Canis lupus familiaris: one gene and its partners. The protein of the gene in region 3 purifies or fractionates together with the protein of the main gene of each other region. This does not show direct contact. Links are inferred from orthologs where the notes say so. Each region holds a gene or a part of one and is shown on either strand. Other genes may lie near its edges.

The links. The genes of interacting proteins can lie anywhere in the genome.
Region 1: the proteins of RC3H1 (region 3) and CNOT7 purify together in Homo sapiens (affinity purification with mass spectrometry; 5 studies listed by BioGRID, with this or other methods). This does not show direct contact. The link is inferred for Canis lupus familiaris from reciprocal best matches to the Homo sapiens genes RC3H1 and CNOT7.
Region 2: the proteins of RC3H1 (region 3) and CNOT11 purify together in Homo sapiens (affinity purification with mass spectrometry, with the first as the bait; 4 studies listed by BioGRID). This does not show direct contact. The link is inferred for Canis lupus familiaris from reciprocal best matches to the Homo sapiens genes RC3H1 and CNOT11.
Region 4: the proteins of RC3H1 (region 3) and LARP1 purify together in Homo sapiens (affinity purification with mass spectrometry, with the first as the bait; 3 studies listed by BioGRID). This does not show direct contact. The link is inferred for Canis lupus familiaris from reciprocal best matches to the Homo sapiens genes RC3H1 and LARP1.

Annotation. Positions count from the first base shown.
Region 1 is NC_049237.1:41,448,555-41,453,358, forward strand, and holds part of CNOT7 (CCR4-NOT transcription complex subunit 7), read right to left. Parts: intron 3,178-4,804; coding exon 2,984-3,177; intron 1-2,983. UniProt on the Homo sapiens protein: Has 3'-5' poly(A) exoribonuclease activity for synthetic poly(A) RNA substrate. Its function seems to be partially redundant with that of CNOT8.
Region 2 is NC_049231.1:42,715,677-42,720,480, forward strand, and holds part of CNOT11 (CCR4-NOT transcription complex subunit 11), read right to left. Parts: intron 3,866-4,804; coding exon 3,701-3,865; intron 1-3,700. UniProt on the Homo sapiens protein: Component of the CCR4-NOT complex which is one of the major cellular mRNA deadenylases and is linked to various cellular processes including bulk mRNA degradation, miRNA-mediated repression, translational repression during translational initiation and general transcription regulation.
Region 3 is NC_049228.1:25,199,575-25,204,378, reverse strand, and holds part of RC3H1 (roquin-1), read right to left. Parts: intron 4,589-4,804; coding exon 4,418-4,588; intron 3,492-4,417; coding exon 3,376-3,491; intron 2,177-3,375; coding exon 2,023-2,176; 3' UTR 1-2,022. UniProt on the Homo sapiens protein: Post-transcriptional repressor of mRNAs containing a conserved stem loop motif, called constitutive decay element (CDE), which is often located in the 3'-UTR, as in HMGXB3, ICOS, IER3, NFKBID, NFKBIZ, PPP1R10, TNF, TNFRSF4 and in many more mRNAs.
Region 4 is NC_049225.1:55,867,659-55,872,462, forward strand, and holds part of LARP1 (la-related protein 1), read right to left. Parts: intron 4,642-4,804; coding exon 4,249-4,641; intron 3,036-4,248; coding exon 2,912-3,035; intron 2,771-2,911; coding exon 2,565-2,770; intron 2,112-2,564; coding exon 2,005-2,111; intron 1,406-2,004; coding exon 1,254-1,405; intron 1-1,253. UniProt on the Homo sapiens protein: RNA-binding protein that regulates the translation of specific target mRNA species downstream of the mTORC1 complex, in function of growth signals and nutrient availability.

The DNA of each region.
Region 1 (4,804 bases), on a different chromosome or scaffold from region 3:
AGGCTAATAAATCTCTAAATAGGATGAAGAAAATTTCCTGCTGGTAAGGAAAACTCCAAAATTGTTACAATTCAATTCCGAATCAAGACTGTCCATTTCCCAATCCATTTCAAGTTTTCAAATCATTCCCCACCCTCAAAAATCTTAGTAAATGGAAAAAAAAATCTCAGTAAATGCAGGAATATATTAGAGGATGCAAATCTCAAAAAAGTAGTGAAAACACTGTTGTGTCCAAAATGTAAGGATTGCTGCAGGTGTAGGGATTGACTTACTGATTAGAACAATCTGTTCAGAACAGCAGTGACTGCTCTTAATACTAATCAACTACTGAAGTTTAAGGTGGCAAAATATTCAGGTATAATAACCCAACAGGAGTGAAAGCCATGTACAAATCTCTAAAAAAGGTTTTCCCAAAAAGCAGATATATACAAGGCTGCTCATTTCAAATAATATCCTAAAAACAGAAACCAACCTAACTTTACTACCATACTTTAATAGTATGTTAAATTACCAACCAAACTTTAATAGTATGTTAAATTCAAGAAATATGTTTTCACTTTTTTTTCAAGTAGGCTCCACATCCAACGTGGGGCTTAAACTCACAACCCCAAGATCGAGTCGCATGCTCTATCAACTGAGCCAACCAGGCGTCCCAACTTTTCGACCTACCTATAAGTATAAGCTCAGCCTACTATACAAATTCACATTTTTAAACACAAGTTAAACATTTTATAGTTTGTACATTTTACATTTACATTTTAAAACACACACGCTATATATTTGTTTTTGCTAAAAATCATGAGAAAAGGCAAACCAGAATACAGACTGTCACAAATGTATGAATGGTCAACTAGCTTAATATTTAATGAACTCAAACCAAGAATACATAAGGTGCTCAAAAAATCTGCAAAGGCTATATGAAAGACAACACAAATAGCCTGCAACTCCATACCTGACACTTAGGTGCCCTTTAGCCTTCAAATGCCTGTCCGTGACCCAAAAAACAAAATCAAAACCACCCACTGTTTGATTCTGTCCTTTCTACTTATGATTCTCCATTTCTTTCCTCTGCCATTTTGCTTAAATGATTATCAGCTTCCTTTCAGTTACCACTGAACCCACAATGTCCTATAACCTTTATTACACTATCAAAATGATTCCCTCAAACACTAAGAATTATTACAATCATCAAACTGATGTTTTAGAAATTTGTTCTCATCTCCTTTGATAGTTTTAATTTGCACAGCTCCTCAATAGTCTACTCCAATTTTCATTTTACATTATCAATTCCAAATTCAGTTTGGAGAGAACTCCTATACATTCATCGTTATCTAACAATTCTAATTTTTGGACTTTGGCAATAGAAAGCAGACAGAAAAGTTACAGGAACATTAAGTTATAAACCATGACCAACTTTTCTCAACATTTATCCCTGGTGCCTAACACAGTTGCTGACACATTCCGGGCACTCAAGAAAAAAGTCAATTTTCATCTTTCTTCAAAATACCTAGATTCTATTCATCGTACTGTCTCTACATTAGGTAGTCCCAGTTTTATCTTCCAATTAATCATTTCTACTTAAATAGTGCATTCTACTATATCCTTCTCCTTAAACAACTTCTTGGACATTAACATTAGTATAAATAGTAGCAAAGCTTGGTAACAAGTAGCCCTCTCTGTATAAGAAAAAATGTCTTTCAAAGATTATAATAATAAGGCAGTTGTTACTATAACAAAGATGTTTCTAGCAAAGGAAAATGTCAATTTTACCAGAATGGAGACATGGATGGGTCCCCTTTTACTCATGTATTTATATCACAACAGTATCTTAGTTTAAAAACATTGTTCTAATGATCAACTTGGGAAAAAAATAACATGGAACAAATGAAATGGTGAAGAACTAATTTTAAAAATGGTTCTCTTTTGAGAAAAGGATAAAAGACATTTTTCAGTATTTCAGTACTGTAGTACTTATAGAAGGTTATTACCAGTTTACATAGAGAGTACAGAATCTTTACAAGATTCTAGTATACATTATGAAATCCAACAAAGTAAAACAGAGAATGAGGCTAAATACAATGTAATTATAAGCCACAGTACTATAACACTATTCTCTAAAACCATCTGCCCTGGCTTTTTAGATCTTATATGCTAAATATCACATTATTGAGGTTCTTACATTGGCACTACTGCTAACTGTGCCACAGCTTCTTTTACTATTTTTTTAAACCAGATATAAGATATTACACAAGTACAAGCTGTCAAATAAAAGGACACTGCAATATTGTAACTTAGAATATATTAAGTATTTCCCCACCTTAGAGTCAGTTTGTAAACAATCTGCCCTCACTTAAAAACACTCTAAACTTCCCTAAACTATCAACCATGAGCTTAACTTAGAATTCAGATTCTGAACTGTATCTGAAAGAAATAAAGTTCAAGGATACCATTACCTCTCCTATATATGTAAGTTACAAGAGGTTTTGTGGGCTGATTGGAAACGTAACTATTATGTAACATTGACTTGAAAGGAAAATCCACCCAAGTTTCCAAGAAATGCCTTACTGCCTCTGACATGTAATCTACTCATAAACTGGAGTCAGATATATTAATCTCTTCACAAGGATAATTACTACAACAAAGATATATATATTTCAAACTGCAAACAAAGTTTGAAAGTAAAACTAACGTAAGGTTATTTTTTCTATCAAGAAGTGATTTCAATACCCAAAGTTTTTCAGGTTTCAAAAAAAGTGGCAGTCATACTTTTCAAACAACATCTTCAAAATTCAAAGTATTTGAATATAAAGTCTTCTTTATCCTAGTTCTTTCATCCCGTAAGAAGAAATCTAAACTTCTGAAATTAGGTTTTAAGTATCTCTAGGATAACTGTGCCAAATTCAGTTAGCATTTTTCACCGTGAGGGAAATCAATTCTTAAAATTAAGCTAAAAAAGTTTGGGTTATATTTATTTCCCACTTACGTCAAATTAAATTTAAAATTAAACTGCCAAGTTGAAGTTCCTGGAGGATATTCTCCTTGCTCATTCATAAATGTCAGTCCTAGCTGAATTATCTTTAACAAGTCTACATTACATCGCAATAGTTGGTACTGATAGTCAGCATTGCTCCTGAATTCTCCAATAGGTCTTGCAACCACACCTGGAAACTCGGTGTCCTGTAAAATAGTTTTAAGATTCATTATTTACTAAATGATTAAAACCACAATTCACAAATTCTTAGAATAAATATGTAATTTTCAGTTCAAGTCAAATAATCCTATTATAGATAATGCTCTACACATTCATGTTCAAATACAAATTACCTTTTAACTATGAAGAACTTCACTTTTTAGAAGCATAAAACTGTAATAAACTTAATGACTTTCTTATCTTAAACTTAATGACTTTAAGTATCAGTAATAAATGATAAGTGCACCAAATATTCTCTTCCCAAGGGAGGGGAAAATATAAATTCATGTTCCTCAAGGGGTATGTGAAACTATGCTCACAGTATGCTAGTGTTAAAACCAAGGAACTGGTTAAAAAGAATGGAAAATGCATCATGCTTTGCAATCATTTCTCTGAGACAAAGTCTGTCTAAACATCAAAACCCTCTTCATTTCTTGGGGTAAAATAGTTCTCTCTCTATAATCTATACATCATCAAAAATTGCATGATACCCACTTATTCCTGTAAAACAGTATCACATCTCTAATGTCACTCCTTATCATCTAAGAAATGATCACTATAAATTTTTGTAGGAAAAAATACTTCAATTCTAATTACGGGTTAAGTATACCTTTACTAAATAGGGTATCTAGGTACACTCAAATATTCACATATTCACCATTCAACCTGCCTCTCCCCACAGAAGCACATTTATGTATTTGCATTAAAAATATTGAGGAAATGATACTATGATATATCACTTTAATTTTAAAACAAACTGGGAAGCTAAGAACAAAATCTGAATATCAAGTCACTATGAAACGGTAAAGAAATTAAAACTCTAAATTCAGTCCAACTCAACAACCAACCACATCACTGGATGTTTGTGTTATGGTAGGTGTGCTGTGGGAGAGAAAAGGTAGACTAGGACACTAACCCCTTGCCTTGCAGAGCTTACATCTAGAAAACAGTACGGTAATTACCACAAATGTACAAGGTACAGTAGGTAAAGCAGCAAAATAATTAACTGAATAGACGGTAGAGGTAGATTGAATACTATATGCAAAAGCAGAGATGCTTAACAGCAGTGTGTTCATCAACTCCAATGATTAAAACAACACAAAAATTGCAGACCAACAAAGTTTTACTGGGAGATCTGAGTTTCTGAAAAGACATGCAGAAGCTCCCTAGCTTTTGGGCGCTCATCTGGTATTATCAGTTACACCTTAAGTGTTGCTGGGAGCTGACCTGGCACTCACAGCTAAGTTCTAACATTCATCTGTTGTTGAGTATAAACAGTTTCATACTTCATCACCAGACAAGACCACTCTGTCATCATGACTGAACATAGACAAAAACATAAACATTATTCTAACCACAAAAATGATCAAACATCCTTCTAGCTTGGCTGATGTAAGTGAATGCTGCTTCTTTATAGCTTTATTCTCACTCTATTCTTCTCTCATTCTAGTTAAGACTTATTAAGATACCCTGTCACAGAATTACCCCAGCTTCCCAACAGCATCCAATTCTGCACAAGGCCCTGCTTCCTTAATCCCTCCCTAAAACCACCTGACAGAAGCCCAAATCCTAAAAGTCTTTTCTAACACTCTTACTGAAATATCCCATGATTAC
Region 2 (4,804 bases), on a different chromosome or scaffold from region 3:
GCTTCTCCCCTCTTGCTTTCATACAGCAAAGGAAACCATTAACAAAATGAAAACATACTGAACGGGAGAAACTATTACAAATTCTGTATATGGTAAAAGGTTAATATCCAAAATAACTCCTACAACACCAAAAAAAAAAAGGATTTAAAAATGGGCAGAAAATCAGAACAGACAGTTCTCTAAAGATATACAGATGACCAACAGACACATGAAAACAGGGACGCCTGGGTGGCTCAACGGTTGAGCGTCTGCCTTCGGCTCAGGTTGTGATCCTGGGGGTCCTGGGATCAAGTCCCACATCAGGCTTCCTGCATGGAGCCTGCTTCTCCCTCTGCCGGTGTCTCTGCCTCTCTCTCTTTCTCTCATAAACAAAATCTTGGGGGGAAAAAAAAGCCTTAAAAAAAAAATGGACTGACTTCAACAACCATTTAATTTAAAAAAAAAAAAAAAAAAAAGGTTGAATGGCCAATAAACCTTTGAAAAGATGTTCAGGGCAGCCCCGGTGGTCCAGCGGTTTAGCGCCGCCTTCAGCCTGGGATGTGACCCTGGAGACCCTGGGATCGAGTCCCACATCAGGCTCCCTGCACGGAGCCTGCTTCCCCCCGCTGCCTGTGTCTCTGCCCCCTCCCCTCTCTGTCATGAATAAATAAAATCTTTAAAAAAAAAGTTCAACCTCACTGGTGGGGGTGTGGGGATCAGTCAAAACACAAGACACTATTACATACCCTTCAGACTGACAAAAATTAAGCCTGAAATCATCAGATGCAGAGAATGTCAGGTAATTTGCACACTGCTAATGGGAATGAAACATGGCACAGCAACTCTGGAAAACAATCTGCCACTAGCTAGTGAAGTTTTACATTTGCTTATCTCCCTAGAAAAAATATTTTCACATGTACTACCAGAATGAACATAGCAACATTATGTCCATTAATAGTAAAATGGGGGGGATCCCTGGGTGGCTCAGCGGTTTGGCGCCCGCTTTCGGCTCAGATCATGATCCTGGAGGCCCAGGATCGAGTCCCGCATCGGGCTCTCTGCATGGAGCCTGCTTCTCCCTCTGCCTGTATCTTTGCCTCTCTCTCTGTGTCTCTCATGAGTAAGTGAGTGAAGTCTTAAAAAAGAAAAAAAAAAGTAAAATGGATGGAGAACTTGATATTCCATTGTATGAATGTCACAACAGCAATGAAAATCAACCACTACAATTCATCAGTATGGATTCACTTTACAATTAACACCCAAAAGAACACAACATGTTTCCACATATATCTCAAGTTGAAGAACATCCAAAGTTAAACTACAGGCATATATAAAGGTGAGGGCGATAAAGTAAATCCTGATTATCACAAAAATGAGGTTAGTGATGGGGGAGAAGGGGAGCAGCTAGGAAGAGAAACACACAAGGAGACTCTAGGTCCTGAAACATATTTCTTAACCTAGATGATGCTGCTCCAGGGTCACTTTATAATTCCTTAATACATGCAGATTTTATGAAACTACATATTTCAGATTTTGTAATTTTTTTAAGATTGATTGATTTATGATAGAGAGAGAGAGGCAGAGACACAGGAGGAGGGAGAAGCAGGCTCCATGCCGGGAGCCCGACGTGAGACTCGATCCCGGGACTCCAGGATCGCGCCCTGGGCCAAAGGCAGGTGCTAAACTGCTGAGCCACGCAGGGATCCCCAGATTTTGTAATTTTTAAAAAAGATCTTATTTATTTATTTGTGAGAGACACAGAGAGAGACAGAGAGACATAGGCAGAGGGAGACAGATTTTGTAATTTTGAAAAGACAGGGCTAAATTCCTGATTCCTTAAAGAGCTATCAGTGTTAATAAAAAAAAAAACAAACAAACATGGATTCAGTGGGAAAACTGTCAGACATGAAAGATGCCTTGTATCTATAACATGTTCAACTTCATTCATTTAATAGGAAAAATTCTAACTAAAATCATCCCAAGATGCTGTTTTCTCCTATTGCTAGCTAAAGTACAGAAAATGAACATACTCTTGACAAAAATATAGGAAAAATGTTTAAATTGGCACAATGTGTAGTAAAATAACAAGTACAGGTTATCTGGAATTTTTAATAAAGCCTCTGAAATATTGACATTGTTAATAGGGTAAAAAAAAAATGCCCCTTGTAGTTACTTTTGTATAACTTGTCTGCTTGTTTATTTAAAGTTAAAAAAAATGCAACTGCATCCTCCATAAATACACCTCTGGTCCATAGATCCTACTGCAAGACATGAATTGCAGGCCTCTGCAAAGGTGAATTTGTGTGTAGCCAGCTCCAGAGAAGATAAGTGTAGCACTTTTTTTCCCCCTGATATTTGTAAAAATGCATGGATTAGGACATCTTCAATCTGGGTAGGAGACAGCAAGTTTAGCCATTTTGCCAAGCTTTCTCGAGACTAACTCTAGCATATATTCCTTTCTGGGCTTGATATACTTTAAAACTTTCTCACAGTCGAACTCAAGTCATCCGAAGTTGCAAGGGAGATCAGACCTGATTCTCACGTTATTGAATACAAAGCAAAAGCCCTCAGAATATATATATCCCTTCTGAAGGTAAAATGACTGAAACTGCCTGTCACACCTCTGTACCCAGCTCTCATACAATCTTTCAAGAAATAATCATATTTTATTTCCGTAAGTAGATTATATCTAGCACTAGTGAATTAGCATTTCTGCATACCTTCAACCTTAAAAGTCTTAAAAAGATTTCTCGATTTCAGAAAATAAACATTGTTCTAATGTGATACTCAGGAGTTAAAAAGTGAGGGTCGGAATGTTCCAAGGAAAAAGCAGTTTATTGAACGATGTCACCTTGTATAAGAAACCAAATGTCACAGACGCATTAAGTCTAGTAAGAAGGATGGGGGACTGTCAAAATTAATACTGCAGCTCACTCAGTCACAAGGTGAAGGGTTCACAAATTTGCCCATATATTAGAATTTCCCTAATCAATCACTCTCAGTGCAGTCTAGCAAAAGGTGCCTCTTCTATCTTCCCTACTCAGAGAGGCTCTGACCATCCAGGTCAAGAAAGCTCCTATTTTCTATCACAACAGGCTTCTGCTTCAAGAGATCCCATTCATTTATATGCGTCCCACAGAAGGCGCCAAAGCAATCTTGAAACAGCAGGACAGGGGAACTTTCACACATCCTGACTTCAAAACTTACTACAAAGCTACTGTAAGCAAATGTGTGAAGTGAAATACAGACAGACAAAGCAGTGATCACTGAATAGAGAACCCTGAAATAAACCCTTCCATATAAGGTAGAATGATTTTCAACAAGGGTGCCAAGAGAAACCATGTGGGCTATTCAGGGTCCCCTAGGATTCCGTATGAATTTTACAATGGGTTTTTCCATGTCTGCAAAACATATTGTTCAGATTTTAATAGAAATTGCATTGAATCTGCAGATCACTTTTTTTTTTAAACCTACTAAATTTTATCCAGCATTCTTCTTAAATTGAAAAAGCAATCAATTCAAGTGAAAACTCAGAGTGAATTTATATACCACATTAGCAAGGATCCAGTACTGAGGGTACATTTCTCATGGAAGTTATGAAGCTTTTAGCACAATTACAAAGACCTTCATTTTAAGTGGGGACCCTTAAAAAAAAAAAAAAAAAAAAAAAAGGGCCTAATGCTACTACACAAGAATACCCAAACCACTGATTGCTCCTTACCAGCCAAGGCTAGCTGAAGCCCACTAATATCCACAGACTGGCCCATGTTTCCAACGTCCATCAATGCAATCTGTCGAGGTGTCTTCTTGAAGAGTTCTCTTGGGGGTGCCAGCATTAGCTGGGAAAGAAAAAACTTTTCTGGTGGAGTTATAGGAGGTAAAAATCCTGTAAACAAAAATGTATAACAATTTCTCCAATGGTTATTTTTAAAAATTAACTTGACTCTGGTAAAATTAGCATTTGCTGCTTGCCATTTCCACTCACATATTTTTAAAGACAAAATTATTTAAGTTTCAGTTAACCAAATATATACATTTATGAAAATGCAATTAAATATACCACTTGAAATTCTGTGATTTGTGGCAATATCAAAAATGAAACTTAAATTTTTAACTATTAAAAGCTCTGTATCCAACATGCAAAGGCTAAAGCTTAAACATGCAAGCAAAAACAAATAAAAAAAGCTAATGCTCAGAAATGCTTTTTCTCCCTTGCTTCTGTGAGCAACTGTACAAGTTGAAGAGACCAGGAGCATCAGCAGCACAGGTACACATGTCACACCTGCTTCAGTGCACAGTACAGCCACAAAAATCCCCCAGTGCTGACTGCTGTTCCTGTCTGTCACGTTCCGTTGCTCAACAAGCCTCATCTGTCCCACAGCAGCACTGTTGCCAGACTCTGTTCCCCTCATCTTCATCTCCCCTCCTTTCTTGTCTAGACTCCAGGACAGCCTTCCTCACTTTCCCAGCTCCGAGTTTGGACTCCTGCCCACCTATCACCCACAGTCCACACTCCCACTTACCACTTAAGTTATATTTCTAGGTACGAATCTCACATTACTTAACCTGTTTACACAGAATTAAACCCCAAATTCTGCACCATGAGATCATAATCTAGTTCTGACCCACTTTCCTAATCTCATCTCTCGAACTCCCCTCCAACCCACACATCCTACACTCCAGTTACACAAAATCTCCCAGGTTCTCAGACTGCTGATTTCAGAACATCCAATATACCCAGTTCTTTAAAAACACCTGACAGGGCCACACCCTTCCCTCATACACCCCATATCCCACCCCTAACCAAGATCCAGCAAAAACCTCA
Region 3 (4,804 bases):
AGGAAAATATGGATATCAACTGAAAAAAAATGCCTCATCTTCATTCAGTGCTTCTACCTCCCAGTCATTTTATCGCAACAGCTGCGCTCATGCGAAAAAATCCTTAAAACATACCCAATATATATACAGATATAGCTATGTATATATGTATATATATAATATATATAAATTTTTATTTAAATAAAAAAGAAAGCTCGAATCCCAAGCCAATATGTGTATATCAAATCCTTGACCAGCCAGGTCTGTAGGGCATAATCAAATTCAATGTGAAATAGTATATAAACACGGTGCCTTGACTGGGCAAATTAAATAATCGCTACTCAAAAGAGTGTTCTGTTTGGACTCTCCTACTGGTAGGCAATGGCAGGACTGTATTTCCCTCCCCCCTCCCCCCATTTGTTTCAGTTAACAGTATGATGGACATAGAGCTTACACTGAGGTTGTTATGACCTCAGCAGGAGTTAAGGGTTAAGAAAATAAGAAACAAGAAAAATACAAACTCTTGCTTTTACCCAACCAAAGCAATGCAGTAACTTATTACATAACCAGTGCTTTCTGTTGTAGTAGTATAATCCAGAAAGGGAAATTTTTAAAAAATCAGGCAAACATAGGAATGAGGAGGGTGACTATATCAAATAATCCCCCCTAAACATGTTTTATAGGGTCTTAGCTCAGTATAGACACATGGCATCAGAATATGTGCAGCAGAACTAAATTTTAAAATTTCTTATTCTTTTCAACATTTTCATCAAGAATCTCTTCACTATGAAAACTAACTTTTAGGTACTTAACTGCCTACTTGCGCCGATGATTCTGAACAACAACTATTAATTTATAAACTATCCTTAAGAACTGGGCAGTTTGTATTTGACTCATCTATTTGAAAACCAGGGGCTTTAATTTTATTTTATACTTTTGGGTTCTGACAGTAAAACAGAACAAAAACATCAACAGAAATAATGTGACTGCTCATTTTCAATTCAAGTGTTGCAGTTTTAAAACATGGTTGATTTTCCCAGTGGTTTTTGTTTTCTGGGTTTTTAAAAAACATTTTATGATTTTAACAAAAGTTTAATTTGAAAAGCACAACTCCAAATTTCCAACCATCAGCTCAGTACAGGTAATATACCAACCATGTATTTTTCAGTACTAACTAATAAATTACAGTTCATTCTTAAAATAATCTCCATTTAAAACTAATCGAACAGCCTACAATATTGGCCTGGCTTTCTGATTACATCAAGAGAATGAAATGGATCCATAATATGGAAATGAGGACTTCAAAAAATTAATTAGGAATTATCTCTCTGAAAAAGTGGAAGTAAAAACAAAAACAAGAAACAAAACCCACCTGAACAACAAAAAGTTTTAGTGCCATATGAAAAACACACACATGAAGCCAGAAACCAGAAAGGGAAAGAAAATTATGACTTTCAAATAAGAGCTCTTGGAAAAGTTGGTTTGCTGCACATTTTCTAATAACTAGTCTACTACTGTCTCTTTGTTTCTCAAGCACCACAGAATTCTCAGACAGTCCGGTGCTTTCTGTCTGTTTTAACTTATGGGGTTGTGAAAGTTGGGAAGGATCGGGGATAAGGAATTATACACTGGGTATGTAATAATACCAAAATACAAGAAAAACCTACTTCATTAAGATCATACAATTAATCAAACAGAGTGTATATATAATATCTTCTTTTTTTTTAAAGCCCTGGATCCAAGGCGTCCAAAGTTATTAAAATAAAGTTCATTCACAGAACAAAAACAAATTTAATCTGAATTGCTTGCAGATACTGCTAATTTTCTTTTTCTTTTTCTTTTTTTTTAAATTAAAAAATGCATTAATGTGAACTATGTGCAGGGTTTGTTTTTAGTAGTGGTATTTGTGCACATTGCCTCCGGTACTTTTCTTGGATTTCTCTGACCACTCTCAGAGAAAAAGTTTAGAAGTTATCTGTTCTCCTACCCCTATGCCCCACAAATTGATCAGGAGCAAAAGATAAAAGTCGAACTCTTCATAATTTAGGGAGCAGAAGTGGATGTGACTCCTCCGGCTCTCTGGGAGTCATTGTTGTCACCTCCTCCCTCGGGATCCTCTGACAGGTTCAGAGAGCTGGTCTTGTTTGACAGGAGGCTGATATTCTCTTGTGTCAAAGCTGAGCCATTTGGTACATCACTATTAATTAAAAAAACAACAACAATATTAAATAAGGAGAGATAAAAATGATTAGTAGAATAAAATCAATAGGGTCTTTCTTTTAGGAGTATGGAAAAATACACAAGTAGCTTTTAAATTTTAGTTTACAGTTCTATACCCATGCTTTATTATAGAAGTGGGCAAACGAAGGCTAATCAGTGCCTATTTTTCTAAGTACAGTTTTACTGAAACACAGCCTGCCATTTGTTTATGTATTGTCTATGACTGCTTTCACACTACAATGGCAGAATTGAGCATTTCCAGAGACTGTAAGACCCATAGTTTTAAATACTTACTAACAGGACTTTAATAAGAAAAAGTTCTGACCCCTTTAAGCTTTAGCAGGCTTACTCGTATGAGAAATTATTCTGAACTTAGGACAAATGCATGGATTTAAACAGCTAAAACTTAAGCCTGAAACCAACAGAGCATTAGAAATTATTGTTGTACAATCGTCAGGAAGGTAACTCAGGACTCTGTAGTAAATGACTTCACAATAACCTAGGGAAATAATTAAAGCTATGCAAACAAAGAATTGACTGTGATACGGTTTTTTGCGGGGTTGTTTAATCATAGCTGACATATATCCTTTCCACACCTCTAGATGATGTGGGATAGGCCGAATTAAAAACTAGGGGGATAGGGTGGAAGGTGGATTTGAAAGAGGCTACATATCCACACACTTTAAAAGGACTGGAAAGGTCTACACCAAAATGTTGAATTGGTTTTAAATAAAATAAAAAATAGGAGAAAGAAGAAATGGAACCAGAAAAACTCATTTGTTATATATTAACAATCTTGGATCTGTAAATAAGTTTCATGACTCAGAAAAACAAGTTTTAGAACTAAATTTATGTGAAAATATTTTCTCAATGTATACAGAATGATTTTTTAAAAAAGATATTTTATTTATTTGCGAGAGAGAAGAGAGGGCACAAGCAGAATGTAGAGGCAGAGAGAGAGGGAGGGAGAAGCAGACTCTCAGCTGAGCAGGGAGCCCAATGCAGGGCTTGATCCCAGGACCCCAGGATCATGACATGAGCTGAAGGCAGACGCTTAACTGACTGAGCCACCCAGGCACACCTGAATAATGGTATTTAAAAAAAAAAAATCATATTTATGAGGGAACTTCTGTCAGGATTGGATAATATAAGACTATGAAATGTCCCTTTCTTTACCTGAATGTCAATGTAAGGTCCTCAGCTGAAACCTTATTTTGTGGTTCTGGTTGTCCATTTTCTGCTTGTTTACTTGTATTCAATTTGCTTTTCATGTCCAGAGTACACTGGTTCTCCTTTGGAAGAGAAGGAAGTAAATTAAATTATCTTCTATTTAACAGTGCTAATGAAATAGACCAAATATAGATAATACAAATTGATAATCCAAAATCGTATTTTTATATGATATTTATAAATCATTTTTATAAAATGACCAAAGAAATGGGCAGCCTAAAAGAGAGACATACATGATAATAAGAGAGTACATCTGCTCACTATCCAAGCTAGAAAACAAGGGAGAGAATGCCCCAAGTTAGAAAAACTGATGACTTAGAAAAGGTAAGCAAAAATATAATCACTACCTATAACATACTTATTGAAAGCAAAAAAATGAAATACCTCATTTATTTGCTTGGAAAGAACTTATAACTATTTAACAAAAGAGTCAATTACCATGCAACCTAGGGGAATGGTTCACTCCCCCCAAATCCAAAATTTCCCAAAACCAGTATTTGTGCATTAGGAGGCATTTCCACGGATACAGTTCCTCAGGAAGGAATGTGCAGACTGCATTTCCCTCGTAATAAAAAAACAGGTCTTCAATAACTAAAGGGCTATAAAAACTGACTGCTATTTGTGAACACATAGTTTTTTAAGATCATGGTATTGCAAAATCATAACATCATCCCCTCTCAGCTTCCCTAATCAGTATGTTTAACAATAATTTAATAATACCCAATTAACTGCCTTGTTTTCCCTGCAAGTTTTTCATAATGCAGAATCCTAAGACAAAGAACACTCACATCAAAAGGGAATGAGAGGAGGAATGAATAAAAAAGGGAGGCAGCCCATCCTCATGATAATTCTAGGTATTAACCACTCACTGGAGTGCCTTAGGGGTGATGATTCTAGAGCTCTAGAGCTGCAAGTTCTAAGACATCACTACACAAAAGCTTTCCTTTCACCTCTTCTAGTTCCCACCCCTTTCCCACCAAACACTCACCAGACTCAGTTCCCGGGTTCTCTTCCCGATTTCCCTTTCCACCTGGTGCAGTTCCAAACTCAATTGCTCACTTGAAATCATCCCAGGCCATTTTGGAGTTGGTGGTGGGGGCTGTGACTGGCCTGCCAGGGTGTTGACCTCCCTCTGCAACACCAGCCTGTTACTAACAGCCTAGTGCATAAAGCCAAGCACATACACAACTCAACACATTTCACACCATGCACGGGATGACCAGGCCCATTCTCAGACCACTGCCTAAAGTAGCTTATCAGGAAGATATGTGCAATAGAAATGATGCAACTATAAGGCACTGTCTCTTTTGAGTGCCATCTGAATTAAAAAAGAAAAACTAGGTGATTTAAACTTAGTAAACAGTAATTTAACATT
Region 4 (4,804 bases), on a different chromosome or scaffold from region 3:
GGAAGAAGCCAGTTGCAAAGGGCGCTGACTGCGTGACTGATTTACAGGAAAAGTCCAGAACAGGTAAATCCATACAAACTGGTGGTTGTGCAGGCCTGGGAGAAGCCACAGGTGCAGAGATGGGAAATGACCAGTAAGGGGCACTGGGTTTCTCCCTGTGGTAATGAACATGTTCTAGTATCGATTCTGGGGATAGATGCACAACTCCTGAATGTACTGAAAGCTACTGTACCACACACTTTGAATGGGTCAACTGTAAGGTATGTGAATTCTATCCTAGTAAACCAGTCATCACACACAAACAGGGAAGTAAGGCAGATGAGCGAGGCATTTAACAGCCATGTGCTGCTAACTGAAAAGGACTGGAGAGCGATGAACAGTAACAACTACAAGGGAGCACTGAGACTGCTTCCGAGCATCTTTACAGCCAACCGGACAGAAACCTACAGTGAAAAGACATCTCATTTTGTGATAAAAAAGAGATATATGAGATTATCTAGAGAGTTCTTTCCTTACACCATCTTCTAAGAGCAGGGGCCAGCAAACTTTTTTCTATAAAAGACCAGAGTAGGGATCCCTGGGTGGCGCAGCGGTTTGGCGCCTGCCTTTGGCCCAGGGCGCGATCCTGGAGACCTGGGATCGAATCCCACATCGGGCTCCCGGTGCATGGAGCCTGCTTCTCCCTCTGCCTGTGTATCTGTGCCTCTCTCTCATTCTGTGACTATCATAAATAAATAAAAATTTAAAAAAAAATAATAAAGTTTATAAAAAAAAAAAAAAAAGACCAGAGTATTTTAGGTTTCATAAGCTACATATGGTCTCAGTCATAAGTTTTTCTTTTTTCCCTTCATAACCCCTTAGAAATGTAAAACTCTTCCTTGCTCAAGGGCTGTACAAAAATAGGAAGCTGGCTGGATTTGGTCCAGAGGCCATGGTTAAGCCACCCCTGTTTCTAGAGAAATCTATGCTGCCCCATGCATACTCTTTTATGATCAACAGTGGACCACAGTGGACAATAGCTGACTTGGCAGTCATGCTAGAAATAGGTAAACTTTTCTATTTTTTATTATCAATAGAAGATCAAAGAACAAAAATATTCTGATTATTAGATTCTTTCAGCCTTCTGTATTCAAAAACTACTTGCCTGAGTCTAACTCCTATTCTTTTTGCCCTAAGGTCAGAGAAAGCAGAACCACTTGCTCCACCAGCCCTTACAGTCTGGACCTCAGAGGTGAGGCCCCTCTGCTTCTTACCGTTAAGGCAGCGCCTACGATACTTGTGGTAGACGTGTTGTGTGAAGCCATTTTCCTTAAGCAGCTCATGGGAAGGATGCTGAAACTTGGGCAGAGACTGAGGGGTACAGCCATAGCTGCCAACTGCAGGTGTCCCTTCTGAGGGGCTGGAGCTAAAGGCCAGGAGAGAGAGAGTGTCATCAGGTTCTCTGGAGCAGCTGCCCATCAGGTGAGGAGGGGTCCCTCAGGTCCCTTCCTATCAGCCAAGATCTAGCCTCTCCTAGGGCAACAAAGAGACCTAAATACCATGGTAGGCCCTTAACATACAGCCTTCAGGCCAAATCACTCTTTGCATCAATCTTTGGTGGGTTTTTACAAAGCAGTCACTGAGGCTCACAGAGCCTGGGAGACTTATCCTGGTCATGGACCCTTTAACATCCCAGATTAGCACAGTGTCCAAACCTGAGCTTTTAAGCATTTAATCATCCCGAGTTCACATTTAACTTTCTCTGATTAGCTATTATGGGGTAGCCCATCTATGTTTTTCTTTAAAACCACGCCTATTCTCAGTCTGTGCCACTTTTCCTTGGGGAAAACCTTCCAAGGCCCTGAATTACATTCTCTAGACTGCTCCAAATTTTCCGATTTAGGTTAAGAGTCCCTTTCTTCAATTTTCTTTAATTTACAGACGAAAGAGATTCCTTCTTCTTGGTCCCATCAACTGCCTGGCTTTCCCGCCCACCCTGCCATCATCTCTCCACTGTGCTGGCACCTGATGGAAGCAGTCCGGGGCCTGTGCTCTCGGGAATCCATCACCCAGCCCACATGACTCTCCAGGGGTGGGTTTGAGCTGTGTCTTGTCTTCCTTTTCCGAGGCATCTGCAAAGGTCAGTCCAGAATTTGTTATTAATTGTACTCATGGAACTCAGAGGAGCACCAAGCATTTGTTGAACTAAGATCCCCTCATGTATGCGTTACTTCACAATTTAAAAAGCATTTTCATATCTAGTCTCTCACATATGAAGTCCACGGCTGTGAGCCAGAAACTGGTATGCCTATCTCACAGGTGAGGACATCGTGGCTTGGGAGCCTAAGGACCCACCCCTGGTTGATCCTCCTTGGGCCTTATCATGGAGACACGGGGCCACCACTGCCATACCCAGTCCCTTTTTCAGATGTGGCCACTCCATCCCAGGTGGGCCCACCAGCCTAAGAACAAAGAGCAGTTCTGGGATTTGGCAGTTCCTTGGCTTAGGCTAGGGAGGACAGTAAAGCACTGGAATGCATTTAAGTGAGCCCAAGACTCTCAGCCACTCAGCAGGAGCACCTCACCTTGGCATCTAGCGTCCGTCCTTCTTTCACTACTGGATAAAACCGTGATGTCTGACTTGAATCTTTGAGCTGTGGTGTCCGGGGAGTACGGGGGGTCCTGGCATTGCGGTAGTTTGGTGACTCTGGGACAGTGGTTGGTAGAGAACGGGCAATGGTAGAAGGCTCAGGAGCACCAAACAATTTGTTGGCCAGGGCATCAGTGGGGACTGCAGAGGGAGAGCAGGTCAGTGAGCAGTGGTAGGCCTGTGACTGACTATACCTGGGAGGCCCCTGTCTGAGGGTTGTACTCTCCCACCCACCCAGGATCCCACACCCACCCAGGGTCCCAGATACCACCTGTCTCTCACCTTGCTGGAAGCGGGGTGGCCCAGGAGGGACCTCCTGGTTGGGATCCACGGGGGGCTCTGGGGTTAGTGTGTCAAACTGCTCCCGGCTGATCATGTTGACCTTCTTGAAGTTCTCGACTTCTTGCTGCAGAGGAAACAAGATGGGCGGAGAGATGATGTTAGTAAGAAGACTGCCCCAGCCTGTTTAGGAATCAAGAAGTGCAGGAAGTTGCAGGGGGCAGCTCCCACATCCACATACATGGAAATCTGGTCCCCAGGCTCTCAGCTACCTCATCACCATTCCCCAACCCCAGTTACCTGGGCAGCTTCCTGCAGACCCGATTCTCCTCCTGACACTGTCTTCACCTCCACCGAACACCCTGCTGCTCACTACTTACACAGGCTCACCTCACAAAGCTACTCTGTAAAAACTGTAAGTTTTGACTGTTTCCAGGCAGCAGTGATTTTTTAGTTTATATATATATATATAAATATATATATATATATATATATATATATGCATAAAGATTTTCTTTATTTGAGAGAGAAAGTGAGAGAAAGAGCTCAAGCAAGACAAAGAGGTAGAGGTAGAGGGAGAAGCCGACTCCTCATTGAGCAGGGAGCCCAACATGGGACTCAATTCTAGGCCCCCAGGATCATGACCGGAGCTGAAGGCAGCCGCTTAACCAATTATGCCACACAGGCACCCAAAAGCTATTATTTTATTTTTTTAAAGATTTTATTTATTCATGAGAGACATAGAGAAAGGCAGAGACACAGGCAGAGGTAGAAGGAGGCTCCCCAAAGGGAGCCCAATGTGGGACTCAATCCCAGGACCCTGAGATCACGACCCGAGTCAAAGGCAGACACTCATCCTCTGAGCTACCCAGGTGCCCCAGAAGCTTTATTGTATTTATTTATTTTAAAAATATTTTTATTTATTCATGAGAATACACAGAAAGGAGAGAGAGAGAGGCAGAGACACAGGCAAAGGGAGAAGCAGGCGCCTTGCAGGGAGCTCGACGCGGGACTCGATCCCGGGTCCCCAGGATCACGCCCCGGGCCGAAGGTCGTGCCAAACCGCTGAGCCACCTGAGCTGCCCAAAAGCTATTATTTTAAAGGTAAGCTTTTAAGTGTGTCTGGCTGATTGTTAGGACATTAAACATGGGCATTCAGGGGGCACAGTGCTCACCTCTCCCCCTACATCTCTTCTCACTTAATGCCCCAGCATGGTGTCCATTACTACTCCCTTTTCAAACACAAGGATACTAAGGCTCTGTGCCCAAATTAGCCTTCCTCTTTTCCACGTGTTGCAAACACCCCAGGCTCCACCCCCAAGGCTATGTCCCAGCCTCACCTTGATCTGGGAATACTCAGGTTCGAACTTCTCTGTCCACAGGTCCTGCTCGTAGTAGAAGAGCCCATCGTTAATGACCTTGGCCAGCTCTGCACTCATCTTGGCACGTGAGGTGTGGTTGCCTGTGCGGTCCCCCCCAGGGTGCCGGCGCATGTAAGGTGGCGTCTGGGTGACAATGAGGATCTTGTTCACATCCCGGTCATCAATCTCATAGTCAGAGTCCTCGTCAGACCAGGCGGTGAAGGTGTTCTTCCGCCCATCCATCTGCTCCATCTCCTCATCAAACAGGAAATCTAGTTCCTCTTGCTCATCCTGCTCCTTTGACATCGGCTGCTGAGAGGGCAGCTGCTGAGGCAGAGAAGTCGGGTGGAGGAACCTGGGCTCCTCTGACTTCTAAAATGGAGAAGATCAAGGGGCGTCGCGGGATCACCAGGGTGTCCTTGGGTCAGTGTCTGTAGCTGTTGGCTGAGAGAGAGGACCCAGCCATGCCAGAATGCTACAGCTGCCAACCTTGGACCTGGTCCCCCATGACTCTACGTATCCTCTCTCCCAGCTC